Linked DNA regions of Coturnix japonica. The protein of the gene in region 1 purifies or fractionates together with the protein of each later gene. This does not show direct contact. Links are inferred from orthologs where the notes say so. Each region holds a gene or a part of one and is shown in the gene's direction. Other genes may lie near its edges.

Region 1 (7,962 bases):
AAATATGAGCTATAAAGTGATCTTGCCATTTAATTTTATATGCAGTCATTGTAGCAGTTAAAATGCAGTACTGACAAAAGAGAATACTTTCATATTGCCAGATTGCCCAGCTTTGGTAGAAATAGTGAATAATTCCAACAGCTTCAATGCTGACAGATGAACTGTGTTAAAGCAGCGCTGCTGAAACGGACAGGTAAATATTTAATATACATCCAGGCTATTCTAATATTAATTGCTTATCAGTTTCTTTAATAAGCTTAACAAAATTTGTGCAAGTTTGTTATCAAACAATTTAATGTTTTAAAATGTGACTTTCTGCCATAAGTCTGATAGCCAAAAAGCTTATATTATTTTTAGTAGTTTTCATTTAATTTTGTACATGTCTTCAAGTGTACAGTTTGATTTCATTCAAAATGGCTGCCACCCACGAGTTCTGCCGTATCCCAAGTGGTAGCAGTCCTCATCCTACACTTCACATTGGCAAAAAGGGGTCCTCCTTAGGGACTTCCACTCCAGGCTCAAATGCAGTTCCCAGCAGGTGAAGGTGAGAGAGGACCAGATGAGTCAGTGAACCAACAGAGAGACTGAACAAAGAGGACTACATTAAGGGATTATATGGAAAGCAGTAATTGAAAAAAAGAAAGAAAGAAAGAAAGAAATATCTGCAAGAGCCAGCCCGAGGTTCCTAGCAGAAACTGCCAATGTAATAAAAAGTAGAAAGAAAAGGAACAGTGAAAGAAGAGAGGGAGAGGGAGTTGAAGGAGACTGTTGGAGAAGGAGAATAAAGAAAGCATTTGAATGGAGCAGCTGCAAATCCAGTCCTGTTAGAGGGAAAAGATGAGCATGGAATGACAACTTTTGCTCTGTCAGGGAATAAGGAGAGTTATCTCAAATTTAGAAACTGTTGCTTATTTATGTATTTTAATACCACATTTTCTTTCTGAGAGGACAAATTGAGATTCCATACCCTAGGCTGCCTAACTAAGCCTTGAAAGGTGAAAAAGACACTGAACAGGTTTTAGATTTGGAGATTTTTAAGCTATTAGTAGGATGTTAGGAGGTTTTTATATACTGCATATTTCAAAGGAAATATGATGTACATACCTGCCAAGTGTTTACCATGCAGCCCAATGCACAGGTTTCAACCACTCATGTCATCCATCCCTCCCTGGCAGGGTCACAAAGCAGCCTGCTCTGTGAGAGGCTGCTCTCAAGCCTCATAGTAACCAGGTGATGATGGATTCCAGTCACATTTCTTTGGGTAACTATTGCCTGTCATTACTGCCAATCACAACCTCGCAGCCTAATCCTCAATGGTAGGCTACCAGCTTATTCTCCCAGCCCCAAGACAAAACACAGAAATTGTACAAATCCCAGAATCCTAGGAATAAAATAGACTTCCTTACTTCTGTTTGTAAGGTTTCAGAATAAATACATAAACCCCAAGCATCTGGCTGGTCTTTCTGATCACTACTTTGACCAGCAGACAGTGCATTGATTTCAGATGAAGTCTAGGAACCATGGACCCTGTAACCAGTACTGCTCTAATATTTCACAAGCAGCTGTAATTGGGAAAGTGGGTATTAGGTTCTCTTCCTGGAAGCAACACCCACATGTTTTACTCATCCTACTGTATGCACAAGACCTCTCAGTACTGCAAGTAAAATTGAATTTGACTGTCCTAAGACAAAGCTCAAAATACATTTTCTTGGACAGGCTGCCAGCACGCTGCCTTCTTCCTACTTGCTTCTGCAGATACTTTCTATGGGAAAAAATAACCAAAATGTAACTGCTTTAGCACTCCTAATGAGGATAGCGTTGGTAATCAGCAAACAGACAACTCTGTCCTTATTCTCTATATAGAATACAGCTTGTAAGTCTAAATCCAGATAATAAAAGATAAATGGAAAACAAGACCTGAGAAAAATAAGGTCGGGCACAAAGCAATAGCAAAAACAGAATGAAGTACATAGAATTGGGTCCAACTGCATAACCAATGTATGCGTTTGTTCTGTAATCTGACAATGGTGCAGAACTCCACTTTATTTTTTTTTTAAACACATATTTTACTATATTTTTCTCCCACCAAAGACTCAAAACCAGACTAATTTTCCCTTAGCTACGACAGCAGGGTCAAAGGATGAAGTACATTCTGTGCAGTCTCCTTCCTGTCCTGCCTGATCCCTGCAGCTGTACAGAGCCACCAGGCTAATCCTGCTCAGCTCAAGCCAGAACTGATGTGCACCGAAGAGGGTGCACAGATGTGGAGCTGGCCCAGAAAGGTACCACTGTGTACAGCAAATAAAGTAAAAAAAAAACAGAGCAAGATACAAATTACACAAGATTCTGAGGACTGGTTACATGCAGCAAAGCTGCAGTTCTCAGATATACGTACACAACCATCATCAAAACTCGATAAGGAAGACCTAAGGCTGATCTTTACCAACCAACTTTCCTAGGACCTGGAAATGTAGTGAGCATCTCTGCAAAGAACAACACTGCTCTTTGCACAGGGAACACAGCACGATGCAGAACCTCTCCATGTGCGCCAATACCTGCACATTTGGGCTGATGGAGGAGTGGAAGAGGGCCCTAGGGAGACAAACAGCAGCAACTCTTGGGTGTTGTCCACCCCTTTGTTCCATAAAGACTTCTCAGACTCTAAAATTCCAGCTTCTTATACTGTGCTACCGTGTCTTGACTTCGGAACATACAATGGATTTTCAAAGCCCTAAAGGACTTCTCCATGCTTACGAGCGCTACCACCAGCTGCCCCACAGCTCACTCAAGGTACCAGCGGCCGCCAGGCCTTTCAGAAGGGCCGCATCCAGAGGTGCCGGGCACTTCCCTCACCGCAGCCTCTACAAGCACACACCGCGATCGCAGCAGCTCCCCAACACCGCGCGGGGCCTCGCTTCCCCCAGGGCAGAGCCTGCACCTGCCGAACGGGCGGCGGCAGCTCCCTCCCACCTCCTCGCCCGCAGCAGCGGCGCCGCTCCGTTCTCTCGGCCGCCGCCGTGAGGGAGGAGCTGCGGAGCGCAACGGCCGCTCCGTGTGAGCGAGAGCGGAGGCGCGAGGGCCCTTCCCGCCGCTCCCCGCTCAGTGACCGGAGCGGCCGTTGCCGAGGGCGCGGGGCCGGGCGCGGTGCTGACTGTCCCCCATCGGAGCCCTCCACGCGAGCGCGGCCCCTACCTGCCCCGCGCGCGGTGCCGGGCAGCAGTTAGGCGGCGGCAGCGAGAAGCGGCATAGGGAGGGAACCGGGCGAGGGGGCAGCGGAGCCTCGCGGGACCTTTAAGCCCCCGGAGGCGGCGGGACTACACTTCCCGGCGTGCCCGTCCGTCTCGACCGCCTCCCGGGCGCAGTCGCGCTGGGAAGAGGGCGGGGACGGGCGTCGCAGTCGCGCTCGGCCTTTACCTCACAGAGGCCCCGCCGCCTTTCAGCTCGGCACCGCGGCGGCTCGGGCCGCGCCGTGTGTGCGTAGCGCCCTCCGCGCGCCGCGTCCCGCCCGCCGAGGGAGGCGCGTGGCGGGGGGCGGCCTCGCTGCACGGCGCTGCTGTTATCCTGCTGTTATCCTGCTGTTATCCTGCTGTTATCCTGCTGTTATCCTGCTGTTATCCTGCTGTTATCCTGCTGTTATCCTGCTGTTATCCTGCTGTCATCCTGCTGTCTCCCTGCGTGACGCGCGGCCCCCCCCGCGCTGGGCCCCTTTGTCAGGCTGCGGGGCCTCGGCTAGGCCCGTGCCTTCCGCTGCCGTAACGATGTCGGAGCAGACGGGCCTGGCGCTGCCGCAGAGCATGGACAGGTACGGGAGGAGCGGCTCCGGGAGGCTCAGGCCGGCCGGGGGCGGTAGCGTGTCTGTGGGCTTTTGATGTCCGGGTGCTGCGGGCCGCGTTGAGCTCGGCCGTACGTCAGCGTGGAGTGCGTGGCGGGGCTGGAGCGGGGAGAACGGCGCGGTGTGCGAGGGCTGCGGGATGTAACGCGGCCATGGGAAGCGTTTGGTGCGTTCCTGAAAGCCTTGAAAGGCGAGGTGTATTTAGCCGGGCCTGGTGGGCTTTGTTACTGGTTTTGTCGGCTTTGGAGGAGTCTGTAGTTTCTTTTTTTTTTTTTTTTTAATTGCTGCTAAGAAGTCCGACCTGTAAACCCCTCTGACTTAATTCTAGGGGAGAAAAGGCATTCGCTCTTTGTAAGCTTATTTCCTCTGTTTACGTTGATTTGCACACGAAGCACTTTCACCTTGTTCTGCTGAGAATTTGAGATTCCCACTGAGGCGCATTGAGTCATCCAGGAAGCTCTTGAGACCTGCACGTATAGGCGACACAACAACCGGGCTGTTAGTGCCGGGGGTGTGACTGCCTGCTGCTTCTGAAGGTCGGAACCCATAAGGAATCTATCCTCTACTGATAAACGTATCGCACTTAAATCACAAAGAACTTGGAGGGGGAGGGGGGAAAATACAGCCTGTCGTCAGGCAGGTAATGGAGAGGCAAACTCTGGGAGGCAAGGGCAGAGCTTGCACTGCCTGGATAAGGAACTTCAGTCCAGTGTGGAAAATGACTAAAAGTCTGTTGTTGGAGGATTGAGGAAGAGGGAAAGCTTCTGATGTTTTAGAAAACCTGGGGAAGTGATGTTAAGGAGGCTAAGGGTCAGGAATTGGAAACGTTTTTGCAAGAAGTAACAGAAAGGAGATAAGTTTGTTGTTTTTTAAAGCACTACAAGGGAAGTATTCTGTTTTACTTCCTGTGAATGTCGACAATAGAGAGGAAAATGGTGAAGGATGGCAAGTGAGCAGGAGAAGATGGGAAAACTTGTGTAGAAAGGAAGAAGAATGAGGAGGATCATGAAGAATGTTGCACATCTGAAACTAATTTTCATCTTCATCCTGAAGTTTGTGGTCTTCAGGTGATGATATGTAATATTTCATTATTTTGGATTCCTAAGAAATCATTATGTTCTGAATGGCTGCCCTGCTGTCTGTAGCTATTTTAACATAACATGAGGTTCTAATTCAGTGGGAAATGTCTGAGGTGGTATTTATTTGCGGTGCAAACAGTAAATTGATGTAATTAGATGACGCTGCCTAATAAAACTGAAGCTTTTCTTTTGTGCTTGTATCAGCATTTGGGAGTGTGACACACAAGAATCTAGAATCTTTTGTGATGTCTTTACAGTTTGTTTTCTTTTAAGGTTACATGTTTTAAATGTCCTTTTTTTCTTCTTCTTCCATGTTTCTTCTGTCCTAGAACAGATTTGAAGGTCTTCCCAATATTAGCAAAGCTTACTGTTAGTGCAAAAACTGTTAAATCCAAATTGTATGTAGAAAGTAGTGAAAGAAGTCATGCGAGGTTTAGGTGAGTGTTCATTAAAAAGGAAGCTGGTTAACTAGCAGCCAAACCAGTTCACTGTTCTTCAGTTGGATATGATGGGTATATGGGGTTTGATGCATGTTTAATGTGCTTGCGAACCACAGTTTCGCAAAGCTGGAAGGATGTGTATCTGGCCCTTTCAAAAGACTTCCTAGTAAATTTGGTATAAGAGTCGGTAATCTAAAATAATTGGAAGGTGTTCCTGGCTTGCTTAGCAACAAGGACAATAGGGGAAACGTTTGAAGTACTTAGGAAGCATAGAAGAAGGTAAGAAGAAAGACTGCAGCTTTCATGAAAGCTTGTTAGACTGAATATAGAAACAGCATTGTGGGAGACAGGAAATGGAGATGGTGAGAAGGTGCAAGTATTAAGGATTTGTCTTTAATTCAGGACTCAGGACAGTACAAGTAGAAGGATCTTGGAGCAAACAAGACTTCAAAATGCAGTCAGTGTAAGTTGTCTATTACATACTGGGGTTATGGAGAGTGGTTATATTACAAAAAAACTGTCTTGTTCCTTCATCTGATGTTTCTCGGGATCATACATAACTGCTTTTATGTTGTATGTAGTGATGACCAAGAAAAACCTTTCATCTGGAGACGTAACCTGTGAATGACTCCTTTGTAGGGATTCTGAAGGGCAGAAGTTCCTTTTCATTCATGCTGTTATCATTGATGCTAATGACAGGTAGCTATTGCCCTGGGTAGCAGTAACAAGTGCATATAGAAAAGCTTATGAGTTAATGTATTATCATTTCACACAGAGCACGTACTGTTAAATCAAATTGAAATCTCATAGTGAATGATGCAGAAAACAGCTTTTCAGTGAATAAAGCTGACTGGGAGGGAAAAAGGTTTTTTTTCTGATACCAAGGTGGTATCACTGAGAATTCGCAGAATGGTGAAGTACTCCTGTATCAGGAATAAGTTATTGCTGTAGATCTGAATGTATGCAAGGGTGATAGCTCCTGAAATCAACTTCTTCAATATGTATTTGTGAGAGGTCATATCTGGCTTCTTTACTTGGCTCTTAGGTTGTACATCCACGTGACTTTCTTCTTGTGCTCATCTTTTGTTGTTTTTTCCTGCATAATTTTAGTCTGGACCACATTTCTAATAAATGACACTTTTCTAATAAAAAGCTGTTACGGTGTAATTAATTCCTTACTTGAAATTTCTAGCTAAGGACTTCATACTTTGCTGAAGTGAAGGGCTGCTACACCATGAATGCAAGAGGGAATAACACAAATATTGTACTCAGAGTATGAGGATCTTGAACCTTTACAATGAAAATACTGTGCTTGGTGTGCCAGTATCACGAACTGAGTCCTTTTTGTCTTTTTAAACATCACTTTAAAAATAGGCTAAAAAAGAAGGAAGGTTTGTTGTTGTTTTGGCTTTATTTTCTTTCAGTTGGGTCCTATGAACTTCCCGTCTTGGCACTGTGTTACAGTAGTTCTTCCAGCTGAACACTTCTGAATGTTCTAGCTTTCGTGTTTATCCCTTGTCAGGTGCTCTGGCTGCTCTGTGCATGCTCCAGACTCTTTTGTTCTCTCTGGGTAATGTTGGAAGATAAGCTGTTGAACTTTGTCAGATTTTGGTACTAGGTTCGATTAGTAACTTAATCTCTTAAGTACGTAGGTCACTCTGAAAGCAATGCTTCCTATTTATTTTCATAGAAATTAGAACACGTGCACAATAATGCTATTTCATAGAGCAAATCATCAGCTACAAAATGCTATTTTTCAACTCACATCCACTGGTCTCCATAAATATTCAGTGAGTGTTGATGAATGTTGGTGGCTGTGTGCCATTGTTTACAAATGGAGGAATCTGGTGACACACCTTTGCTGCGTGTGTACTTCCATGTGTGAGGTGCTGTTCTGTCAGACTGCCCCTCTCTGCTGCTGTCACACAGCAACAACATGTCATGGAATGTCGGTGGGAAGGTTCAGCCTCTACTGCCATACTACCACCATCTGCTTTTGACTTCATGGGCCAATGTAATAAAATAGGAGGCCTTACTTTTAGAGCAGCCTTATTTCTGCTTATTCTTATTTTTTTCCAGTGTCATTTGCCTATAAAATGGAGTTTTATAGCTGTGTTTTAGGCATAAATAACATGTACTTTCACTTGGTTTTGAAGTGATTAATTTGATTAACTTGAAAATAATCCTGGAAGCTGTCAATTTTTATTTTTTCTTTTTAAAGATTTTTACTTCTACCATAAAATTTCATTGGATAGCTTCCAATTCATGTTTTGTGTTGATAGTCTGGTCAATCAGTCTAAAAAAATCTAAATGCTTATCCACACACTGGCTTTTTATAGCAATGTCACTGCCTATTTTTACCTTAATGTGAGCCATAATGCTAAAATGTACTCTTTTATTTTTCAGCTTTATTCTCTTGACTTCAGAGGGATTATCTGCAGATTGCTCTTGCAATTTGGTTATATTCAGGCTTCAGAATGCTGGTTTCCATTTCATGGTAGTGATTTGTGGTATTCTTCTTACTGTCTGAAGACCACTTTTCCTTCCAGTATACAAAGACTGCTCTGAAAGTAATGCCTCCCTGTTTTATCAGCAAGGGCAAATGAAAACT
Region 2 (7,934 bases), on another chromosome or scaffold:
CATTATGGCAAGTGGTCCACAGGTGACAATACGGTAAGAAAGACAAGAGCTGTTTAATTTCTAGGTGACAACCTTGTCCATCTATGTTTGGTGACAGCAGTGCCTCCTCTAGGAAGGCTGTAGATCCTGCAGCTAAGCCAGGAAACTGGCCTCAATACTGCTAATTTTTCTCTTAATTAACTCCATGTTATTTCCCATGCTCTTGAAAGTTAATTAACTTCTCTGAGGCCTTGTCCTATCCACCAGAATGACAGTGTTCAGGCCTTGGATGTTTAGTGATTGCTTGAAATGAGCTTATCATCCTGAAAGTCCTGATAAATAAACTTCATATTATTAGTAATTGCCAGAAAAAAGTGCTTTTTGTTTGTGAAGTCCGAGGTGCCCATCCTCATGTTTGTTGTTTTTTTTTGTGGTTCAATTTCAGGACAGTAGAATACAAGGAGGATATGAGAACGTCCCAACTATTGACATCCACATGAACCAAATCGGCTTTGAAAGAGAATGGTATAAGTTTCTTCTGGAATATATTGCACCCATCACAGAGAAACTGTACCCAGGATACTATACCAAGGTAGGTAATACCGTGACAACAAAACTCATGGTCAGCTCAGCACCTTCTACAATTGCAGCTGTGTGAAAAGACTACTAGAATCCTCTTGCAATATGCATTCTCTGGTATGGAGGGATGTTGCTGAGCTGTGATTTGAATATGCATCAGAAAATAGTTTCCCAATAATGTTTTCCTGCGTTATTGTGGTTCTTCTTAGCAGTGAGGTGCAATTTAAAATTGCACCCTATCACAGCCCAGTAACCACAGGCTGCTACAGCTCTGTAACAGACGTTCTACTTTTTCTTCTCTCCTGCAGACTCAGTTTGAACTAGCCTTTGTGGTCCGCTACAAACCCGACGAGCAGCCTTCTCTAATGCCCCATCACGATGCTTCCACCTTTACCATTAACATTGCTCTGAACAGGGTTGGAATAGACTATGAGGTAAGTTTGCCAGCATGCTGGTGATGAAGCACAGCCTTATTTATTGATACTTGGCTCCTTCATGCTGAAGTATGTGATTAATGGCTGGGTTATGTTGGATTTTTGAGCACATTAGAGCACAACGGATACCCTTTCTCTCACTTTCTGAAGAGCTGCCAAAAGAAGGCAGAGACCCTTTCCCTTAGGTGACTTAACCAAGCTGATGTGTCTCTTGGTCTGTATCTCAGGGAGGAGGCTGCCGGTTTTTGCGCTACAACTGTTCGATTCGAGCTCCACGGAAAGGGTGGACTCTCATGCATCCAGGACGACTCACCCACTACCATGAAGGTCTTCCAACCACCAAAGGAACCCGTTATATCGCAGTGTCTTTTATTGACCCCTAGAGCCATGCTGACAGGAAAGACCTTTCCCTGGCCCTGCTCACTGCTGACTTTGAGTGGAAACAGGGAATAGTGCAGAGAGTCTCTAAGGTGTTGATCAAAGATATAAGACTCCGCTGTTGGAAGATCTCCCTCTCTGATACTGCGGGTCATATCTAGAAACGTTGCTGTAGAATTTGGAAGGAGATTTTGTGCCTTCATTTTTGATTCTGCTCTTCATCCGCTGTGTCTTGGAAATGCGATTTACTTGAAGCTTCACGGCTTGGTTGGCTTTACAGAAATGCTTTCTTGGACTGGAAATCCAGCTCTTTGGAGTCAAGTCACAAGCTTTCTCTCCAAGTAGCTGGAATCTCTTTTTTATATCCACAGCATATACAGGACTGGACACTTAGAAAATCATTTCTGGATACTATACCAAACATTATCAAGGAGCTGGCTCCAAGAGTCGTAATGGTTACATGTCACACCAGATGAAACTCAGTAGTAACAGCCTGAAGATCATCTGAATCCTTACCTCTATGCAGTCTTTGGAAACACATCACAGAGTTCAAAGCAGCAGCAATAGCAATGTAGGTGCTTTGTGGTAGTCAATGAAGGCCCATTAATTATACATTATCTCTGGGATTAGTCTGAAGACATAGAAAAAAGAAATAGCCTCCCTATCTTCTGTTACTGCAGTTTAGGGAGGGCTTCAGTGCTGAATCAGCTCAGCTCTATCCTTGTTAAGATCTACAAGCTCTAATGATGGGTTAACAACCCAGAGGCCCCACTGATCTTTGGCCTCATTCTCCTTCTTAGCGATCATTTGGGTAGTTCCCTTTGCATCCAGCTTGTTTGAGCCAACGCTGTAGAAGAACTATTTTCTGGTACTTAGAGGAAATCATTATTTGGTATTTCTAATATTTGAGATTGCAAACCAAAGCATCCCCCTGGGGATGAGACTCATAGAAATGAGTGGGTGAGTGCTCAGAGGTTGTGGCAAACCAATAAGGGATAAAAAACTGCCTAGAATTGAGCTGTGGGTAGAGGGGGAGCAGAGAAAAACCGTTGTATTGCTGCCTGTGAGAGACCTGCTCTGCTTTTAGACACTATTATGTGTATGAAGGCTGGTTTGTTTCACAGGCAGTACATTCACATTGGGATTGGGGTGGACCCACAGGGCTGCTCTCTGAGGGCTCTTTAGGGTCTCCTTCAGTGCTGTGCATCCACCAGGGGAGAAAAAACAGTTGAAAACGGTAAAAATTCGTGCTGTAACCAAATGAAGAGACTTTCCAGGCCCACGGTTGAGAAAACATTGACATGGTGTATGTATTTATTTAGCTTCCCCACACACACACTTATTTTATTGTGTTTTTCCTCTGCCCGATACTATGATCGGAATCCGCGCGGAGCCGCTTCACACACAGATTCCAACCGTGGCAAGTGGGAGGTGGGGAAATTCGCATTAAACTATTCCCAAACGCTCACTGTGGTTGTGTTTCTTCCACGACGGGGCGGCTCCTCAGAACTACAGCTCCCGAAGCACCCCGGGACAGAGCCCGCCTACCCAGGGGTGGTGCCGGGGGTTAAGATGGCTGCGCTGCGGGAGCGGCCGTGAAGGTGAGCGTTGGTTGCGGGCTGTGATGGCGGCTCCTGTGAGGGGTTCGGGGCTCTGAGGTGGCGGCCGCGCTGTGGGGAGAACGCGCTTCCCGCCCTTTTTATTGGCGGGAATCCGCCGTTCTCTGAGGGCCGAGTTCGAGGCCTGCGCCTCCCTCTGTCGTAGGGAGGCGGCTGGATTCGGAGTGAGGGAAGGAGCTGTGGTGGAACGGCGCTGTTCGTGTTCTGGAGGGGCTCGAGTTGACCATGTCCGGCTTGTGAGAGCGAAACACATCCTAAAAGTAAGCGGGGAAGGGAGGGAGTGATCCCTTGGAAGGGAGGAGGGAAGGTGGGTTTTTATTCTTTCTAGATATTTGAGTGACTTCTAAGTGTGGGAATTAGAAACGTTCCTTGTGGAATGATCTTTAGAACGTGTATTATCTAGTTCTCAGTAGGCGTCTTCTGTCTCCCAGGGGTCTGTATTGAGACATCACCTTTATCAATATACATTTTATATATGTGTGTACACCGTACCCTTATACTATCAGGGCATACACATTGGGATCAAGATCAGCAATTTGCTGATGGCACCACACTGAGCACTGCAGTTGACAGGGCAGAAGGAAGCGATGCCCTCCAGAGGGATCCTGGTAGGTGAAAATCTGAACATGAACCAGCACTGTGTGATGGCAGCACTGAAGGCCCACACACAGAACAGCATCCTGGGCTGCTGCAGCAGATGGGTGCCAGCAGGATGAAGGGATTTTCCTCCTGCTCTCTGCTTTTGTGAGGCCCCAGCTGCAGTTCTGCACCCAGGCCTGTGGCCTCCAGCAATGGAAGGATGTGGGGCTGTTGGGGGGGATCCAGAGGACAGCTGTGAGGATGCTCAGAGAGCTGCAGCACCTCTTCTATGGAGAAAGATTGGAGGAGTTGGGCTTGTTCAGCCTGGAGAGGGCTCCAAGGAGACCTCATTGCTGCATTCCAGTACTTTAAGGGAGCTTATAAACAGGAGAGAAGTGAACTTTTTACACAGGTAGTCAGTGATAGAACAAGGGGAAGTGGTTTTAAACTAAGAGATGGGAAACTTAAGTCTCTCTTGCTGCTGCCCGGAGCTGTGGGAGCCCCATCCCTGAAGGTGCCCACAGCCATGGATGGGCCCTGAGCAGCCTGAGCTGGTGGGGAACACCCTGTGTGTGGCAGGGTTGGAACTGAGTAATCTCTGAGTTCCTTTCCAGCCCAACCGTTGTATGATTAAATATCAGACACTTGGTTGTGTGGCTGTTAGGCCTCAGTGAGTTCCCTTTCCTTACTGATTTTTTTCCCTATAGCGCAATGTCCCTGTTGTTTACTCGTTCCAAGTCAATAGTTGCAGTGAAGAAGGATAAAAGACACATGGCTGAGGTCAATGCTTCTCCACTCAAACATTTTGTCACTGCAAAGAAGAAAATCAATGGCATCTTTGAGCAACTGGCCGCATACATCAATGAGAGCTCCTCATTCCTGGAGGGTAAGCTGAGCTGAATGGTGCTTTGCCTGCACGTGGTTCCCAAGCAACACACCAAAACCCTCATTTATTTATAAATACGTATCTCTTTATATGTCAGTATTTGTATGAGGGGACTGAAAATTATTGTAGTGAATTTGAGTGAAGTTTAGGCCTCATATTTCAAAGCTGATTTACGTTGGTAATGTATGAAACCAAGCTAGTTAGTGGGCTCCGTTGTTTCTGGGGAAGGTTATTTCTATGTGTTTTGTTTTTAAAATGAACTATTTGAGGCTCTTTTGCTTGTGTGCATATAATCCTTTCAGTATTCTTGCCTAGACACGTCATTGCCAGTGACGTGGAACACATACAGTAATTGGCTTTACAGCTTACGATGCAGAGAGAAGGTTTTTAAGGGTGCTGGGATGTTTGAAGCATTGGATGCGTTCTGTTTAAGGCGGTCATGAGGATAAAGAATGGTTATTAGATAAAGAGACTGGTAGATAATGCTGCTGGGTGTAACTGCATGCTTCAGCATGACCTGTCTGAACTGTGAGATACAGATAAGCATTTGGTTGTGTATGTTAAATTATGGGGAGGTGTTTTACCCAGTACTGAGGCAGATCGCTTCAGGGATTCAGGGACATGATGTGTTTTGATTTTTAGAAACACACAGGAACGTGGAGCTTGATCCTGTCACCACAGAAGAGCAGGTATTGGAAGTCAAAGGCTACTTGTCAAAAGTCAGTGGCATTAGTGAAGTGCTGGCGAGGCGACACATGAAAGTGGCTTTTTTTGGAAGGTAAGTCGAGTGCTTACATTGCCTACACTCCCTACTGGGTAAAGAAACTTGCATCTTTAGGATCATAGCCAAAAATGTATTTATAGAAGCATTAGTGCTCCAGCTTCTGGATGCAACGTGTGGCACATGTCCCTAGTTCTAGTATTTGTGTGAATGGGACTCAAATACTGTAGAACATAATCTATTTAGAAGAAAAAAAATGGGTTCTTTTTTAAGTTGTCTGTAGCAAATGAATTGTTAGTGCTTCTGGAGCTGTTTTGGTTTAGATGACTTGTTCTGAGCTCAGAAGCCCAGCTATGCTGTTCTTTAATTTTGCTTCAGGACGAGCAATGGGAAAAGCACTGTGATAAATGCCATGCTATGGGACAAAGTCCTTCCTTCAGGAATTGGGCACACCACCAATTGTTTCCTGCGTGTAGAAGGGACTGATGGTCATGAAGCTTTCCTTCTTACTGAAGGCTCGGAGGAAAAGAAGAGTGTTAAGGTACAAATTCCTTCAGCATTAGATATAGGAGAAGAGCTGTGCTCCAGTGCCAGAGAAGGAGACAAGAAAAAGAAAATGAAAGCACTGTGAATAGATTAATAGTTCCAGACTATATTCATTGAAGGAGCAAAGATTAACAGCAGATTTTCAATGAATGTAGGAAGGGAGGAGTGAAGCAAGCTATGGCGTGAGACTTTATTATACGTGGAAGATGATACGTTGTAGTTGTGCTGACAGGGAATTGGAATGATGACTCAGGAAATTCTCAGCTCTGTATGACTGACCAAAGTTACAGCCTTCCTGATAGTTCCTCAGCTGTACTTGGTGGGAATTCTTCTTATAAACTCTTTTTGGGTGGTTGTCTTTTGGCTGGGGAAACTCGAGGTGTGGAAAAACTCTTGGGGAGATAATAATTCCACATTGGGTTTTATCCTAGATTGTCTGTGACCAGTTTGAAGGGGGGAGATAATTGTCTTGGCGTATGTGAAATGTTTTTATGTATATCTACATATGTGTGTGTGTATTTATTATTATTATTAATAGACAGTAAACCAGCTGGCTCATGCCCTCCATCAAGATGAGCTTCTGAATGCTGGCAGCCTAGTAAGCGTAATGTGGCCCAATTCCAAATGTTCTCTCTTGAAGGATGACCTAGTGCTCATGGACAGGTGAGAATATCTGTCTTTCTTTTCCTCTTTACCACAGATTGCTTGGTATTCAAATACGAATTTAGCAGACATCAAGGAATGTGACCTTGTTTTAATCTGTGACAGTGACTAAAGTCCTTTCCTGTAGTTAACAGCCACAGTTTACCTTGATTTGTCCTTTTAGTTTGCAGTCTGCAAACTGAAACCTCAAAGCAGTGTGGCTCAGACACAGAAAATAGTGCCCTGCGTAGCCAAAACAAGTCTCATACTAACTTTTTAAAACATATTTTTGAATTTTCCACATAATAATATTGTTTCTTCTCTTCCTGTTCTTAGCCCTGGCATTGATGTAACCACAGAGCTGGACAGTTGGATTGACAAGTTCTGTCTGGATGCTGATGTATTTGTTCTGGTGGCAAATTCCGAATCAACATTGATGCAAACTGTATGTTCAGGTTCACTTAATAGCGGTCAGTGAATATGGCTGAAAGTTGAAATGTGCTGACAAACTAATTTAAGAGGTTGTATTCCATTTTGCACAGGAGAAACAGTTCTTTCACAAGGTGAACGAACGTCTGTCTCGACCCAATATATTTATTTTAAATAACCGCTGGGATGCATCTGCCTCTGAACCAGAATACATGGAAGAGGTTTGTGACTTAAATTCCTTCTCTTTGCCTGGAATCCATTATAGAGACCATTTTGACTCTTGTCCTTGTGAGTAGAATCATGACGTGTTAGATATGGTTGTTTTAGTTTGTTTTTTTATTACTGTGGTGTGGAAACTAGAGGGAGTATAGGCTAGTGGTCACAGCATGGCTCTGGAGATTTCTGAAGTGGAAACCAAGAACTTCACTGGGCAGTTTGTAAATTAGATGACTTGGATGACTTCTGGAAGATATTCTAGACTGCAAGGTTGTTTTCTTATTCTTTCATATTAGTAACTTAGACCAGCAGAGGGCATCTGGGTGCCTGGTCTGATTTTTGAGATGGAGCTTAAAGTGGCTGTAACTGCACACAGAGCTGTTCCTGTTTATCCCTCAGGTGCGTCGGCAGCACATGGAGCGCTGCACCAGTTTCCTGGTAGATGAGCTGGGTGTGGTGGATCGAGCGCAGGCAGGGGATCGAATCTTCTTTGTGTCAGCAAAAGAAGTGCTGAATGCCAGGATTCAGAAGGCTCAAGGGATGCCAGAAGGAGGTGAGGAAAGCTAACAGAGTCCTTCTTCTAGAGAAGAAAATAAGAGAATATCTTGTCTCAGAAATAGGCAAAACTGAGTTTATTAAAATGATCAGATTCTTAAGAGAACAGACAAAATAAAAGAGAATGAATTGGCTACTTTTCTGCATTGGCTTCCAGGTAAAGCAGGAGTATTTCCTAATGCCCAACATCTGATTAGGGTTTCTGAAAACCTAATTGGTTGTTTTTTACCTTCCTGTTCTCAGGTGGAGCACTGGCAGATGGTTTTCAAGTGAGAATGTTTGAGTTTCAAAACTTTGAGAGGAGATTTGAGGTGAGTGTTAAACATTGTAGCCTTTTATTTAGGCTTAGTCCTGAAAGGAGTTTATGAACA
Region 3 (7,497 bases), on another chromosome or scaffold:
AGCGCAGTGAAGGGGCTGCTCTGTTAGGATCCAGGCTGCTAAAATGCTCGAGGGTTTCTTGTTCTAGGGGTTTGTTTAAACAGTCAGTTTGTGTTCTTGTAGTTCTCAAAGCTGGTCAGCACTGCAAGGATTCTGCTTGGGAATGTGCTGCCAGGCTTTCAGTGTTAACTCATCCTCACTATTGGGTTCTGTTTCTAGAAAACCTGAAACCATTGTTGCCTTCTGGTGCTCAGAACCAGCTCCACCTGCTGATCCCATGCAGGAAGTTTGACCTCAGCTACGACCTGAACTGTCACAGTCTCTGTGCGGATTTTCAGGAGGACATTGTGTTCCACTTCTCCTTGGGATGGACTTCACTCGTAAACCGGTTCTTGGGTCCTAAACATGCTCAGAGAGTCCTTCTGGGACTGGCAGATCCCAGTTTACAAGTGAGTGCTTCAGAGGCTGAGCTTTTAAGTGCCTTGTTTTGCCTTAATGAGGATATATTCAATTTTTAAATTTATTTTTAATTACAGTTGTTTTTATTTTAAATCCTATTTGCTTCTGCTGTTTCTCCGCTTGCTCCTGGTCCCTCTGTGAAATATTTTTGGTAAGGGTTGTTTTATTGGATTCTATTCAGGGTTAAAAGGGAACCGAGCATCCTTCCCATGCTTTCTGCAGACGTTGCCTAAGTTCTGTTTTCCTTTGGAGTGACCACTCCAGGGAACTTCTTTATTTGTCACCTTTGGATCTCTGAGCAGAGCCTTCGTTCTGACTTAGTCCCGGTGTGGCAGGGAACTGTCAGAACCTCCACTGCTTACCAGGAACGTTGTTCAGATGTCTGTGCTGAGCAGTTCCCTTCAAATGAATGGAACCCTGAATAGCTGACAATAAAACTAATCTCTGTAGTTCTCTAATGCTTTTGACTCAGGCTGCCGTATTCCACTCTTCTAGATCCCTCGTCCCTTAGCTACCACCCCGTCTGCTGCCAGCCTTCCTGCTGCAACTCCAGAGAACACATCACCCGATGATTTCATGGTTCCTTTGATAATGAGTTTAGCTTCACTGACATCACGGACCTCTATGAGCATCATCGTTGTTGGCGGAGTGGCAAGTAGCATTAGCAGCACTCACCGAGGGCAGAGATGGGCTGTTCTTTCCTTTCTGGGGTTCCGTACTGTGAAGCATGTAGTAACTTCTTAGCATGGCTGGGATGGATGAGCACTTGTGGTACACTGGGCACAAGTTATCGGATTGTAGTGAGAAAATTGCTGTGATGATGCTGCGTGTAGCTGGGCGTGTTCTGTGTTCAGTTTCTCAACTATGGGGTGACTTGATTGTGCCCTACATGTTGTTGGACTGGTGGGAGCTTTGCTTTTTCCTTCCTCCTCCTGTAGCCTGGATGTTCTCCAAGCCATTGGGGTACCAGCTCGTTTGGATAGAGCTCTATTGCTCTATAATAATATATTTGTTAATCTAATCTAGTAAAAGGGCCTTGAAGACAAAAACAGCAACAAAAGGTGGAAATAAATAGATTTCCTTATAGTCTAATTGCATTCTGTAGGGCAACTCTAATTTAAACTAAGGAGTTTTCCTTTTCAGATTTGGAAAACGGTTGGCTGGAAACTCATCTCTGTCTCCTTAAGTATGTACGGGTTGTTATATCTCTATGAGAGACTCACTTGGACCACTAAAGCAAAAGAGAGAGCCTTCAAGCAGCAGTTTGTGAATTATGCGACCGAAAAGCTGCAGATGATCGTCAGCCTTACGAGCGCAAACTGCAGCCACCAGGTGCAGCAGTAAGTGTCACACAAGATAAGGAACCTTTGTCAGTGTGGGTGTGGAAAGGCAGCAGAATGTTCTTGCAGGCCCTGTTTGTTGTGAGGGATGTTTGTAGTGTTGTTACAGGGAGAAGGTGTTGCAGTACCAACAATAGGTGTTGGTGGACTGTAGGTGTGAAGCTGGTACTTAGGGAGGGTAAGACATCTTCTCTGCAGGGGTGAGAGTCTGGAGTTGTGGACTCGGGACTCTTTAACAGTCGTTGTGTTCTGTGATCCCCTGGCAGCTGGAGGCTTTGGTTGCAGTGTAACACCGTGTGATTGATCCTGTCTTGTTTTTGTGGTGGGATTCTGTAAGCTCCGGTTACAGACTTGTTTTTCCTATAGGGAAATGGCCACTACCTTTGCCCGGCTCTGTCAGCAGGTGGATGTTACCCAGAAAAACCTGGAGGAAGAAATTGCCCGTCTTTCCAAAGAAATCGATCAGCTGGAGGACATACAGAGCCACTCCAAGCATCTAAGGTGAGTCTGCATGTGGCTGCCAACAGCCAATTGCTGGCACTGCTGACCCCTGAGTGGATGTGTGCTGTCACCTGCAGCCTAAAAGCAAGGTATACACAGGGCAGACACTGACACCTCTTTCCTTTACTCAGAAGCAAACAGCTCCTTGGTTAAGAGTTAAATGCAGGCTTCTTCCACGAGAATGAGGAAAGCTCCTGAAATGCTCTTAGACAATCTCTACCTCACTCTGTTGGAGTGGTGGCTTTTGTAACAGTGTTTGTCTCCCGCAGGTAAAGTGGGGGGTGACACCTTCCCAAGAAGCAGGAGAGTGTTAGAGCAGCTGTCAGCTTGTCGTTCATTTCAGTCCCATTTTGGTTTTGCCACCAGCAGCAGCTGGTGTTTGTGGAACAGAAACTCGCAGCAGTGGGTGGCTGAGGGACTCAGGTCCAGGCTCCGACCGGAGCAGAAGTTCTGGTTTTCTCAGTGCTTTGGGTTTCAGGAGTAGAAACCAAACACAAGTTTTGCTTCTGGTGCTGCACTGAAGTGAATTCTCTGCTTTTGTTTGTTTTGCAGAACTAAAGCCATTCACCTTGAGAACGAACTAGATCGCTTTACAAAGCATTTCCTTCAGAAGAGTAAATAAAGCATCAGCCTTCGCTTCCCGGTGATCCCTTGTAGGACACAGCACATTTTACAGCTGACGCCTCCCTGGGGGGTCACATAAAATGATTTATATTTTTAACCTTATTTTGATTACATTGAATTATTGTAAAGCTTAATTTAGACTCTGACAGTGAACCAAACTGAATTGCTGTGGGACGCTTAGACGTGTGATGTTTGTTTTGCAGATTGGGGGTTTAAAGTCTTTAACACTAAATTTCATTGGGCACTTGAGAATAAAAACCCAAATCCCTTTTGATTTTCGTTAGTGCTTAGGAGGGGCAGGTCTGGCTTCCTGGCATCCAGGAGTTTATGCAGGGAGGGTGCTTAGCACCGCTGTCTGTACCGTTCTCAGTTGACCAGGAAGAGCCAGGGGAGGAGGATGCTGCCTTTCATTTGTGCTTGTTTGGGGTTTTAAGGAAGGGAATGATGAACCCCAGCATTGTGGACAAGAGGTGCTGAGCGTTCTGAAAGCAAGTGGAATCGGGTTGGGAAGATGTTCCTGTTCTTGGATAAGGAAACAAAAGGTGGTAACTGTAGAGCAGTCGCTCCTGGGATGCGGTTGGCTGTAGTTTCCCCACTGGTTCCTGCGTCTCCAGCCAAGATGGCCTTAAGTAACAATAAATAGTTGGTAAGCTGGACACTTGTCTCTGTGAGCACAGCGGGAAGCCTCATTCAGGTGAAGGGCAGCAAATGAGTGGCTGAGTCAGTGGTTTGGATCCCATTTCTGCATGTTGGAGGGAAAGATTTGGGTGTCGGGCTCCAGCACTGAGAGGTGGAGGCTGCCTGATGGGATCTCCTCATGTAACATCCTGACCTGCTCCTCGGTTCTGCTGTAGCACCCATCCCTATGAGCTGTGACAGGTTCCCCTCTGCTCACCTCCAGCATTGCAGAGCCCCTCAGCGTGGCTGCTGCCACCTGCAATCACTGAGCACCTTCGTTTTTCTAACCAGACTTTTTAAGAATAACTTATTTTAGAAGAGAAAACCTTTTCAGAGTATTTATATATTTTTATGGCTCTGTATGAACAAGATTAATGAAATACTCAAAACTTCAGAGTTAAGGATTTACTTATATTCCAGTAAATAAGGGCTATCCTAAAAGGAGAGAGATTAAAAGCTAATAGTAGCGCAGTGCTGTTAATAACCAGCGCTGTTTGTTTGCACTGTAGTGTACAGTGTTGGTTTGTGACTGTGCAGCTCTGAGCTGGCAGCAGCAGTGGGGGGTGTCTGAGGACAACTGTGAATATTGAAATGAGCCACAGCCCAGGTGTTGTTTGAGGTGACAGGGGTGTGTTGGTGCATCTGAAGCACTGCTACAGTGATTGTACCCAGGTGGGAACTTCACATGCATGTGTTCTGCAGTTATTTATTAAAAAATTATAACTCTCTTCTCCTGTGGTAATGTTACTTCACAAGGAAAAGTCACCCTTTGCTTCCACTGTAGGACAGTGGTTGGAGATGGATGATCATTGAGGTGCCTTCCAACCCCAGCCATTCTGTGACAGGGGCCACGGGGTGGAGCTGTAAAGGAGCACCCACAGGTGGCACTGTCTGGTTAAAAGCACTTGTTTATTGGTTACAATATCAACTCATGGCAACATCTTTCACTGAGCCACTGTACAAATACAAAGAAAAGATCCATTGTGGGGGAAAAAAAAAAAGAAAAAGCTATAAACAGAGTTCATAGCAAGTGATTTCTTTTCACAGGGAGGTCTTTTTACAACAGCACTGTTAAAGAACAAATGGCACAAGTCCCTGGTTTCTTCAATAGCTTAAATAAAAGCTTTAAGACTGTTTCTGTATACATACACGATCCAAAGGCAGTGCAGAATCACTTCATAATTGGTAACATGACCGCAGGTATCCAAAGTAGTCAGCAACAAGTGACAGAAGGAACCGAGCTGATGAGAAATGCCAGAAACTGAAGGCAAATTAAAACGGAGATGGTTAGAAGCGTTTTAGTTTTGGACTCCTTTGGATGTCATATGTACTACAAGTGTTCAGATGTTTTTATTTTTTTCTTTAAAAAAAAAAAAAGAAACAAAGGAAAAGGAGAAAAAACACAAATAGAAGAGCACCATCGTGTAAGTAAAACAAAGGCTTGAAATATCTAAGACTATTCCACCGAAGTCCATATTAGTTAAAACCTAAACATACTGTGTGGTATAAGGATGTCAGGCACATGTAATCTGTTATCAGTTATATCAATTAGTAACACTGTTCACACATTTACCATAACAACACTGCATTAACATTCTGCATGTATTTTACATAACCAGCAATTGGATAAAAAGGCTTGTGGTGCCTCTGAAGTGTAGGAAGTAGTTTACCAGCATGCATGCCAGGTTACTGTATACAAAGTGCACCATCAACCCATGCTTAATTACTTTTACAGGAAACGCTATCTCAAAAATCAGTCATTCTGCTACACAACCATTGATACCAACTATTTGAATTAGCCAATACTTATTCTCACCAACATCTTAAAGCACAGCACTAAACCTAGTGGAGGTGACGGTGTCCTCAGAGAGGAACAACTAAGCACGCTTGGAATGTTTTCACAATGGTTTCATTCTACCTTAAAGTAACGCCAACTTCATTGTGGGACACAAACTGAAGAGTTACTATTTCCGACCCATGCACAAAGTAAGCACGCCAGGACCAGCTGCTACATCCATCCAGCTTTGGAAAGTCCAGGTCAGGCCCTCTCAGAGACTGGGGGACAGCCCACGAATCCACGTTCTGCTTCCATACACAGATGGGTGTCAATGCTTCAACCCATCCGTTCTGCCAGGCACTGCCGAGCAGCTGCAGTTTGCAAGGCAGGTGGTGCTGATGGTTGGAAGAAAAAAGGGTCTGCAGACAGATGAAAACAGGCCAACGCTGCAGCACTCTGTGAGTTTACATTTAGAAGCTTTTGTGGTTTCCAGAATCTCAATCATCATCCCCACCAATGAATAATGTCTGAATCTACACCAGAACAAGCCCAGGTTAGGTGCTCGCCTGGCCTGATTAGTATCCTGTATTGCAACATTGAATCAACGCTGGAAAATGCTGACATAAAAAACAAAACTACCTGAATGAAATCAATCTTGCCCCGCAAAGCACAGAGTTCCACTTTCCAAGCTATAACCAATAGGATTTGAGAAGAGAGGCTGGGAATGAGTAACTTTGCCTCAACAATCTTAGCTACTGCACTTCTGTAATAGCACAAGGGATCTGAAGCTCAGACCACGATGCAGTTTGGCAACTTTGACAGCTTAAGATGTACCCGCTGGGGCTGCCCAATCTGCTGCACTGTTGGCTGCTGTGGAGCAGTTGGAAATGGCACGAGCTGCGTTTCTGCGCCTACACCGCACCATAGGCAGCATCTTATTTGAGATGCAAAGCCGGGAATTACGTCTTTTAAGTAAAACGTACAAAGGCTCATTTTCTTAACTTCCTCGTATTAGAGGGAGTTTGAGCATTTAACCATTAAACCACGTCCATTCTATTGAGTGAGCTCACCAGCGATAGCCATGAAAATAAGAAGAGCAATCTTGTGCAAGTTCCTTGTTTGCCCTCATACAATGGCAACAGCACATCACATCAAGTCTGTAGGCTTTGGGTTTTCTCCTTCAGCCTTAGATACTACAGGACAGTGATTAAACAGCAAACGTCACCTTGGCAGGATCTATCAAAGCTTTCTACAGGTCCCCAAGAAGCATCAGATACTGTTTCCACAGTTGTGCTGAGGCTCCTTCCACGTTTCCTTGTGCACCAACACAAAAGGAGCCACGGTGGGACCTGCAGCACTAGAAGAACCAGTTACCAAACAGCACAAACAGGCAGAGACTTTAACGATGCTTTGGGAAACCTCCCAGGCAAGCAGCTGGCATTACTTACTGGCAGCTGAACCCAACAGGCTCATCAGCCAATGCCAGTGAAGCTGTTTGCAGCAATACCTGCATCAGAGCCATTACAACGCTGACAGTCTACCCAAACTTCTAAGAAAAGTTATATACATCTGTAAAATTGTTCCTGGAGTTTCACAAGTAGAAACCAGCTTAAACAACAGAATGTAAAAATGGCACCTGTCTTCGCAACAGCGTTGGGTAGGAAATTGGTTCAAAACGCACTTCTATGGCAAAAAACTGTTTAGAAAAAGAATATTTTTGTAAAATTCCGTAGTAACAAATTTCCAGAAGCATTCGCTCAAGGCAGCTGTGAGTTAAAAACAAACAAAAGTTAAGTGCACCACTAAAAACTGAACCAAATCCGAGAGATCTCAACTCGCTCACTTAAAAGAGCAACAAGTCTTCCATCATAGTTCTGTTACTGCAGGCAGATGGAAAAGCAAAATGCTGAGGAATTCCTGTGACATACGATATCGTGTGGTTTTGGTCCTACACCGCAATCTGCTGCTGGGAAATGTACCCTTGTGCAGCACAAGATCTGCTGCTTTGCTTTAATTTTAAGGGAATTTACTGTGATGGGTACATTTATTGGCACCTTCGCCATTCAGACATGGCGAGTTCACAGGCACAGCTTGGAAGTTCTGAAATTTAGGATTACAAACGTCATAAACATGACAGAG
Region 4 (8,237 bases), on another chromosome or scaffold:
GGAAATGATGGTGGCAACATTGGAATATCACAAATTTTGTGCCAGGAGGGTAACACGAAGAGCCTGAAGGGGACAGTTTCCAGGATCATATCACTGCCAATAACAGGAGGTGGTGTTACCACTATAAGCCAGTCAGAACAGTTCATGGAGAGCTGTCAAAATGGAGATTCCCCATGGAAACAGAAGTTCAAGATGCATTACTCAGTTGGTAAAAGGACGTGTGCTGTCTTTTGGGATGGGAAAAGGGTGATCCTTCTGGATTTCCTGGAACTCAGACAAACCATCAACTCTGACTACTACATTACAACACTGACTAAGCTGAAGGCTCAAACTTCCAGAGTCAGTCTGGGGAAGAAGATAGCTCTTCTCTTGCAACACCGTAACACCAGGTGCCATACCAGTATGAAAATCACGCTGTCAACCTTGGTTGGACTGTCCTACAACATCCACCATATAGTCCAGATTTGGCACCTTCTGACTTCCATCTGTTCAGGCCAATGAAAGATGGACTGTGTGGGCAACATTTTCCTACCAACTACACTGTCATAGCAGCTGTGAAACAGTGGGTCACTTCCACTGGTGAAGATTTTTATGAGCATGGCATGCAGGACCTTATTTATTGCCAGTGAAAATGTGGTGTAGCTCATGATGGTACCTATGTTGAAAAGTAGTATTTTGTATTGAGAATTTGCCAAGTTGACATTATCAAGGAATAATTTACAAAAATATTTTGCCATTACTTTTTGTGCAGTACTAAGTAGTATGGTGGTGTACACACTGCACATGTTACATTACATAATTGAAACTTTAAAATGTGGTTATCAAATATTTCTTCCTCTAGACAAAGATGACAGCAAGGAAATAACCTTTAATGTCATGGTAGCTTGTAGTTTTCTGGCATGAAGTCATTAAATAGCAGATGAGTGGTCTGCTCTTCTCTGCATGTCACTATAGAATCATAGAATCATAGAATTACCCATGTTGGAAAAGACCTTGAAGATCATCAAGTCCAACCGCAGCCTAACCATAGCACTCTAACTCTAACAGCCCTCTGCTAAATCATATCCCTGAGCACCACATCCAAACGCCTCTTAAGCACATCCAGGGATGGCGATTTGTCTGAGTTAAAGGAAGCAGCTGATGATGCAAAACAGTATAAGAAATTCACACAGTGGAGAAGGAGAATTGGAAATTCTGTTAATTTTGTTCTGACTTCAGACACGAAAACAAGCAAGCTTATAATGAAATTAGGACACAAGAATTTCAAAGCTGACACCAAATTGGTTTTCTTTGCAATATGAGTAATTAGATCATGAAATTTACTATTGCAGGATGTTGCTGCAGCCAAGAATTTTACTCCATGGCACACAGAAATATATTATATGGTATAATGCAAACAGAACAATCTGGTTTCAAGTAGCATCGATAAAACAGAAGGCACGTTGATCTGTCAGCTTCAGATTTTACAGACAAAATCAGATTTAATACACAGGACTGTGATCAGAAGATCTTATTACCATACTTTTATAATTTCCCCAGGAATCCTGGTGCTTAACGTACTCAGAAATGACATCCTGAGGTAGATTTATATCAGGTCAGATTCAGTGCGGCAGTTCCTGTTTTCTTATGTTAATTAACCTTTAGTAAAAACCAGTCTGTCTCTTATCAGATCTTTGAGTTTCTTGCCCTGTACAACATAAGCCTATTAAGGAAATTAGATAATTAAAGCTCAGGATGGTCACTGCTTGCCAAAATGATGATTGCTTTGGTGCAGTTGCTCTGGATTGAGGTAAATGCTGGCTTTGGTAAGTTGGTAATAGACACAACATTTTATAGCAAAGGTATTTCCAGAACCCACTTTTTAGCCAGAAATAGACAATGTGGTAAGATTTTCTTCCTTGGGTTTCCTAATCTTATTTAGTCTTATTTAGTCCGCTCTTCTTGTTTCTCTTCTGTTCATTAATTCATTTCATCCATTTAAGTTGTGTTTCTCCATGTGGGTATAGTGTCCTTGATGGTATTTTTTGACAGTTCTGCTGGGAAAGCTGAGTTATCTCTACACATTTTGGCAAATGATATTTTCACTGTGTTCTTAATGAAATATATTACACTGATTAAATTCTAAGAATAGCCATATTGGGATGGACTAAAGGTCAAGCACTGAGCGCTTGTGCACGACAGTCACCCTGTTTCCAACCACTAGTAGCTTAGAAACATCCAGATCTAGGTTTAATTTCCACATCCTTATGTATTTATATGCAATACACTGTGTTGTATGAGTTGAGTTGGGTTGTTCAGGCCTAGAAAGGTTGCGGGGTGACCTCATTGCAGCCTTTCAATACCTAAGGGAACTTACTCCCAGGAGGGGAGTAAACTCTTCGAAAGGGCTGACTAATAGCAAGGAACACAGGGAAATGGTTTTAAAGTTAAAAAGAGGGAAGATTAGGATTGATGTTAGGACGGGAAGTCTCTTCACTAGGAAGAGTCGGTTTAAGGCCTGGAAACAAGGTGCCCAGGGAGGTTTGTGGAATGCCCCGTCCTTGGAAGGTGTTCAAGACCAGGGGTTGGACGGGCCCTGCAAACCTGAATCTAGTAAAATGTGTCATGTTTGGTGGCGCCCTAGCCAGGCCAGGGGGGAATTGGGAACCTACATGAATCCTTGAAAGTCCCTTCCAACCCGGGTCATTCTGTGATTCTGTGTTAATGATCCTAATAGCTCTGAGAGCAATTGGTTTCAGCACACCTAAGCGAATGGACGATCTCCACAGGCCTTGGGCCCAGTGCGGCCGGCCCCATTCCTCACTACATGTCCCGTGGATCCCCGCGGCGCTCAGCCCGCACTGCCCGCTGGGGGCCGCGCCGTGCGCGGGGGCCGGCTCCAATGGCGGCAGGCGGAGGGGGCGGCTGACGGGAGCCGCTGCCCGTCGCGCCCATTCATCGCCGACGTCTTCCCCGGCTTTCTCTGTTCCCTCAGCCCCTCCGGGCTGTGTCCGCCTCCGCCGCCATGGAGGCTCTGATCCCGGTGATCAACAAGCTGCAAGATGTCTTCAACACGGTGGGGGCCGACATCATCCAGCTGCCGCAGATCGTGGTGGTGGGCACGCAGGTGAGGCGGGGCGGGACGAGGCGGCGGGTACGACCGGGCCGCACCGCCCCGGGTTAATGTCGGCTCGTCCCCTGCTCCTCTGGGGCCGCTGAGCCGCGGTCTCCGTTTCCAAGGGCACGGGGGGACGAGGGCGGCCGGGACGCCCTTAGCTGTGCCCGCGGCCCCCCCCGTTGGCGCTGGGAGTGCCCGTGCCACCGCCCTCCTTCCCCCGCCGGTTCTAACGGCCGCGGCGCTCCCCGGGGCAACCCCCCGGCCTACGGGCCGCTGAGCTGAAGGGATGGAGAGCAGAGGGACGGCACCTGCGGGTGTCGGCTGTGCTGAGGGGTCGCTGAGCTGTTGTGCCGCCTTTAGGACCTCTTTGTTGGCAGCCAAAGCGGCCTGTCTTGGCGTTACAGTGTGTCCCAGCCTGGTAACGCTGAGGGGCTGAACGAGCAGCTCCAGACCCTTCTGATGTATCCAAACGGGGCTCCAGACCCTTCTGATATATCCAAACGGGACTTCAGATCCTTCTGGTGTATCCAAACGGGACTCCAAACCCTTCTGGAGGACCCAGCGTCCAAACGGGACGCTGTTCCTCAGCATAACTTCCAGTCCAGAACGGTGGCGGTCATAGGAGAAGTGAAAATGAAACATTAAACACAACCAAAACTTGGCTTTAGTACATCACCTTCTTTCTTTTTATTTATTGAATATATGCCGTTACTTGACAATAGTAGGCTGACATCAAGAGAATTGTGCTAGATGCTCTGCAGCTGGGTATCGTTACATGGCTTTGAAGGCACCGACTGCAAGCTTATAGCTGAAGCATGGCATGGCTTTCCTCAAAGCCAGTTGTGGTGTGGTTGTAGGGTAGGCAGCTCTTCCTTTGCTTAACCACCATCAGTCAGCTGGTTCAGAGACTCTGTGTCAGCTGCCTTATAAAAGAGATCCACAACACCGGCGCTGAGGAGGAGACTTTGTACTGGTCAGTTATATCAGGTCCTTGGTTTCTGCTGATCGCAGGAGCCCTTTGCTGTGTAGAAACTTCCAATCTCATTATATTAACAATATAAACTGATTTTGTTGTTGTCAATGCTGTTTTTTTATTTCTCTATCAGAAGGGTGTAAAGCAGAGGTGTGATGTTTTTATACTTGAAATTCATGGAAATATGCCTTTCAGCTTCATTCCAATGTGCTGAAGTCTTTTGTAACGACCTTATCTTAGTTAACTTAGTTAACTTAAAAGTACATGGAGTACATAGGACTATTTTCGCATACAGAGGCTACTTTGGAAGTCATGCCTCCTAGTTTATTGTATTGGCCTACAGTGTCAGAGGTGGATGTAGGTGCTTTGGCAGTAGAGGTTGAACCTTCCCGTCAATATTCTGTTCATTACATTATGTTGCGGTGTAACAGATGGCAGCAGAGGGGCAGGCTGACTAAGTGGTGTCTGATATGGAAGCGCATATGAAACAAATGTGGGGAACTGAATTCCTCCGCAGAAAAAATGGCACTCGTTGTCATTCTTTGATGCTTGTTGAACCTTTATGGAGCCCAAACATTGGATGTGAGTGCAGTGAGGCAGTGGGTGGTGCATTTCAGCTGCGGTGACAGCGATGTGAAGGGCAAGCCATGTTCCACACATCCATGCACAGCTGTCACATCATGAAATGAAGACCGTCTCAGTCCGCTCATCCACACAGATCAGCAGATTACAAGCAGAGAATTGTGTGCAGACCTAAATATCAATTTCATTGCATTGGAAATGATGGTGGCAATGTTGGAATATCACAAATTTAGTGCTGGGTGGGTCCCATGAGTTCTCACACAGGATCAGAACGAACATCATATGCAGGTTTATCAGGTCCTGCTGAACCAATATGAGATGACTGTTTCCTGTATTGAATCATTATCAGTGACAGGACACGGTGTCAACACTAGGAACCGAAGTTCCAATGGCTGTCCATGGAGTGGTGATACAAACTTCTTCAATGGGAATTTAACAGGGCGCAGCCCTCAGTGGTTAAAGTGATGCACGTTGTCTTTTGGGATGGGAAAAGGGTAATCCTGGATTTCCTGAGACCTGGACAAACCATGAATTCTGACTCATAACAACACTGACTAAGCTGAAGCTTCAAACTTCCGTAGTCAGGCCAGGAAAGAAGACAGTGGAAATGAGTAGTCTGCCCTTCTGTATTAATACCCCTTTGGTGTTAAGACCTGTGAGTAAGGTATAGTGGTACTGTATCTTTTAGGAGACCAGCTTGAATGCCTTTATTTACCTCAGGAAAATATGTAGCAAATTGGATGGGAAACTGTAGCCAAATTTTGTTCTTTTGTTTAAGTCTCAGCTCCTGAAAAATATAATTGTCTTCATGGACGCAGTGACTCTGTAGTTATTTTCTGCAGTTATTTCATACTTAAGATTGTATTCGTTTAGTCCTTTCAATGTAGTTTATGGCAGCCCAGGTTTCTGGAGATGTCTCACATATGTCCTTAGGGCTGACGGTTTTGCTGCTGAGAATTGGCTTCCATGTGTTTTTGAAACCTGCCTTTTAACAGCGTTGTCCCTTAAGATATTTTTGGTTAAGTGCTGTGTGACTCCAAGCTTTCCCCCATAGTTGACTGTAAAAGTCATCTCTGTACCCTGGTATGGAATCTGCTAAGAAAACTGCCGATGATAGGACTTGCAGGGCACCCTTACACGGCCAACTATGTATTGCTATTTTAGGGTTTCGCTGTCCTTCCCAGTAGGTGTGCTGTTTTTCCTGATTCAGTGTTTCAGTTGCCACCTTACAGCTGTGTTGCTGAAATGTGAAGCAGTGTAGAGGCTGGGAATGCTACGCAAACCCTATTGTCCTTATGATGTCTTTGATATCGATACTTTGCTTTGTGGCAAGGGATATTGAGGTTGTATTGAGGTGCCTCAACCAAACACATTAATACTGAGCTAAAATGAGATGCAGGGAAGAAAACTGAGTTATGGCCTTTTATGTGTTAAGGAGGACACTCCTCACTAGGAGAGTGGTTAGGCCCTGGAACAGGCTGCCCAGGGAGGTTGTGGATGCCCCGTCCTTGGAGGTGTTCAAGACCAGGTTGGACGGGGCCCTGGGCAACCTGATCTAGTAAAGGTGTATGTTTGGTGGCCCTGCCAGGCAGGGGGGTTGGAACTACATGATCCTTGAGGTCCCTTCCAACCCGGGTCATTCTGTGATTCTGTGAAGGAGGTGTAGGTATTATAATAGAAATACCTACATGACAGAAGAGAGCGTGACTTTTAGATTAAACATCAACAGAATCAGTGCCTAGAGATGTGTGGAAGTGAATTCCCTATTTCTTTTTTCTCTTATTCTTTCTTTTTTTCTTTTTTTCCAGGTCTTTAATTCTTGGCATCTCTTTAGGGTTTCTACAAGTCACTGACCTAGATATGTACTAACTTTAGTGCTAGCTCTGTAACAAAGGAATTCTCCTAACACCAGCATTATTTTAGAAAGGAAAAAGTTGTGCTTTGCAGTGACGATTATAATAGAGACTTCATGATGAAATTGCATGAATAAGCAGCTGCAATTCACAAAGATATTTATAAAAGACCTTTCAAGTGGACATTTGTGAAGGCTGAGCAATAGTAAATGCTATTTTGGGACTTCCAGTGTGCAAGTGTATCTTATAGTGCTTAACATAGTTTGGTCTGTTGGATGCTGCCATCCAAACAAGCTGTTCCTTAAGACTATGATTGACCCGTGGATGAGCATTACATTTTTATTTTGCATGCTTTCAATTTGTTACGTTTTTATTTTTGTGTTTTTATTTTATGCTGCACGGAACTACAGTGCCCTTCCCTGCAGAGAAGGGACTTGGTTCATCCAGCAACACATCCTAATCCATGTTGGCAAACTCAAAGTTGTGCCAAGCAACTGGGTAGGCAATTTACAAACCCAAGCCAGGAATGGGCATCCTCCCTCCTCTTCATTTCTTTGAACAATCAGTATTTCTTGGGTTTTCAGTGCAATTGTCTTTAGATCCCTCTTACCTTTGTGATGGGATGGATAGATCTAGAGTGTTCAGTGCTGGCTCTGCTGCCTGGAGGGAACTTGTTTTGCTTGTGGGTTTTGCAAGCTTTTTTTTGTTTTAATTTAATTTAATTTGTGAGAGTTTTTGTGTTTTGATATAATTCCCTGTATTTACTTGCAGGCATAAATGTTTTCCCCTTTGCCATCCCTTCCTCCTGTCAGATCATGCCCTGACTGTTCTGGTGAGCGTTTCAAACAAGCAGCAAAATGAAGTTGACATTAATTAGGTGTTTTCTTATGCCAGGCATACCAGAAACTTTGCTGCTGAAGTGAAATAGTGCTGTAGTTTTGTGTGCCTGATGCCAGGGTTCTGTTCTTGTGATTGGTAATACGGTATTGTAATTAAAATGGATGGATCCTAAATCTTGCCCTCAGGGGATAGCATAAGGAAGACATGTTTTCAGGAAAGCTAAGAGAAACTGCGATGGAAGGAACAAGCCTTGGCAAGTGTGTTTCATGATCTGGAGAGAAAACAGTTGTGTTGGTCTTGGAGAAGATTTCCTTGTATGGTAGCCAGGAGGTTCACCGGCTTCCTCTCAGTAAGTCAAAAAGTATCTCAGTTGCTTAGGGCTTCTCGCGTTTGAAAATACAACTTGGCTTTGTTTTGCTTCTCTTACTTGAAAACTAACAAGAATGGTATAAGTGAGAATATATAAGGCCAATCTTTCATGCTTTGAAATGTGGATCATTAAACATCACATTTCTGTGAAATAACCAGTACTGGTTGATTCTAATTAAATGAGGTATTTTTGACTCTAGTGAAGTATCAGAGGACCTTGAGAGTTGATGTATTGGGAAAGAATACAAATGCAGATATTCTGTGTATTTGTTAGAGTGTGAATAGAGGATTCTTGAACAGGTTGGAGTGAGCTATGTAATGTCTGGCTTTCCTTGCAGCTCATATATGAGTCTCTTTTGTGAAGAGACTCCCCATGGATTCTGGTTTCTTCCTGACTGAGATTCCCATATAGATGCTTTGAAAAGAAGGTAGTGTTCCTGTGGACGATGCCTCAGTGAAAAATGCATCAGCTGAGTAAGCCATATGCACATGCATTGCTAAGAGCACGATTTAGCCAGCAAGG

What was found.
Region 2: the proteins of MARCHF5 (region 1) and MFN2 purify together in Homo sapiens (affinity purification with mass spectrometry; 5 studies listed by BioGRID and IntAct, counting the BioPlex papers as one, with this or other methods). This does not show direct contact. The link is inferred for Coturnix japonica from reciprocal best matches to the Homo sapiens genes MARCHF5 and MFN2.
Region 3: the proteins of MARCHF5 (region 1) and MFN1 purify together in Homo sapiens (affinity purification with western blotting; 4 studies listed by BioGRID, with this or other methods). This does not show direct contact. The link is inferred for Coturnix japonica from reciprocal best matches to the Homo sapiens genes MARCHF5 and MFN1.
Region 4: the proteins of MARCHF5 (region 1) and DNM1L purify together in Homo sapiens (affinity purification with western blotting, with the first as the bait; 3 studies listed by BioGRID). This does not show direct contact. The link is inferred for Coturnix japonica from reciprocal best matches to the Homo sapiens genes MARCHF5 and DNM1L.

The regions. Positions count from the first base shown.
Region 1 is NC_029521.1:18,090,071-18,098,032, reverse strand, and holds the start of MARCHF5 (E3 ubiquitin-protein ligase MARCH5), read left to right. Parts: upstream 1-3,481; 5' UTR 3,482-3,580; exon of another isoform or gene 3,581-3,657; 5' UTR 3,658-3,758; coding exon 3,759-3,802; intron 3,803-5,788; exon of another isoform or gene 5,789-5,803; coding exon of another isoform or gene 5,804-5,814; intron 5,815-7,962. UniProt on the Homo sapiens protein: Mitochondrial E3 ubiquitin-protein ligase that plays a crucial role in the control of mitochondrial morphology by acting as a positive regulator of mitochondrial fission and as an important regulator of immune response.
Region 2 is NC_029536.1:4,787,749-4,795,682, reverse strand, and holds the start of MFN2 (mitofusin-2), read left to right. Parts: upstream 1-2,877; 5' UTR 2,878-2,971; intron 2,972-3,134; 5' UTR 3,135-3,249; intron 3,250-3,495; 5' UTR 3,496-3,597; intron 3,598-4,275; 5' UTR 4,276-4,279; coding exon 4,280-4,454; intron 4,455-5,096; coding exon 5,097-5,232; intron 5,233-5,553; coding exon 5,554-5,716; intron 5,717-6,259; coding exon 6,260-6,384; intron 6,385-6,699; coding exon 6,700-6,808; intron 6,809-6,905; coding exon 6,906-7,013; intron 7,014-7,407; coding exon 7,408-7,561; intron 7,562-7,806; coding exon 7,807-7,874; intron 7,875-7,934. Other genes in the region: PLOD1 (procollagen-lysine,2-oxoglutarate 5-dioxygenase 1), read left to right, coding at 1-33, 425-571, 867-992, 1,220-1,375. UniProt on the Homo sapiens protein: Mitochondrial outer membrane GTPase that mediates mitochondrial clustering and fusion. Mitochondria are highly dynamic organelles, and their morphology is determined by the equilibrium between mitochondrial fusion and fission events.
Region 3 is NC_029524.1:15,409,835-15,417,331, reverse strand, and holds the end of MFN1 (mitofusin-1), read left to right. Parts: intron 1-198; coding exon 199-428; intron 429-933; coding exon 934-1,089; intron 1,090-1,581; coding exon 1,582-1,778; intron 1,779-2,144; coding exon 2,145-2,279; intron 2,280-2,831; coding exon 2,832-2,901; 3' UTR 2,902-4,311; downstream 4,312-7,497. UniProt on the Homo sapiens protein: Mitochondrial outer membrane GTPase that mediates mitochondrial clustering and fusion. Membrane clustering requires GTPase activity. It may involve a major rearrangement of the coiled coil domains.
Region 4 is NC_029516.1:53,515,198-53,523,434, forward strand, and holds the start of DNM1L (dynamin-1-like protein), read left to right. Parts: upstream 1-2,844; 5' UTR 2,845-3,004; coding exon 3,005-3,106; intron 3,107-8,237. UniProt on the Homo sapiens protein: Functions in mitochondrial and peroxisomal division.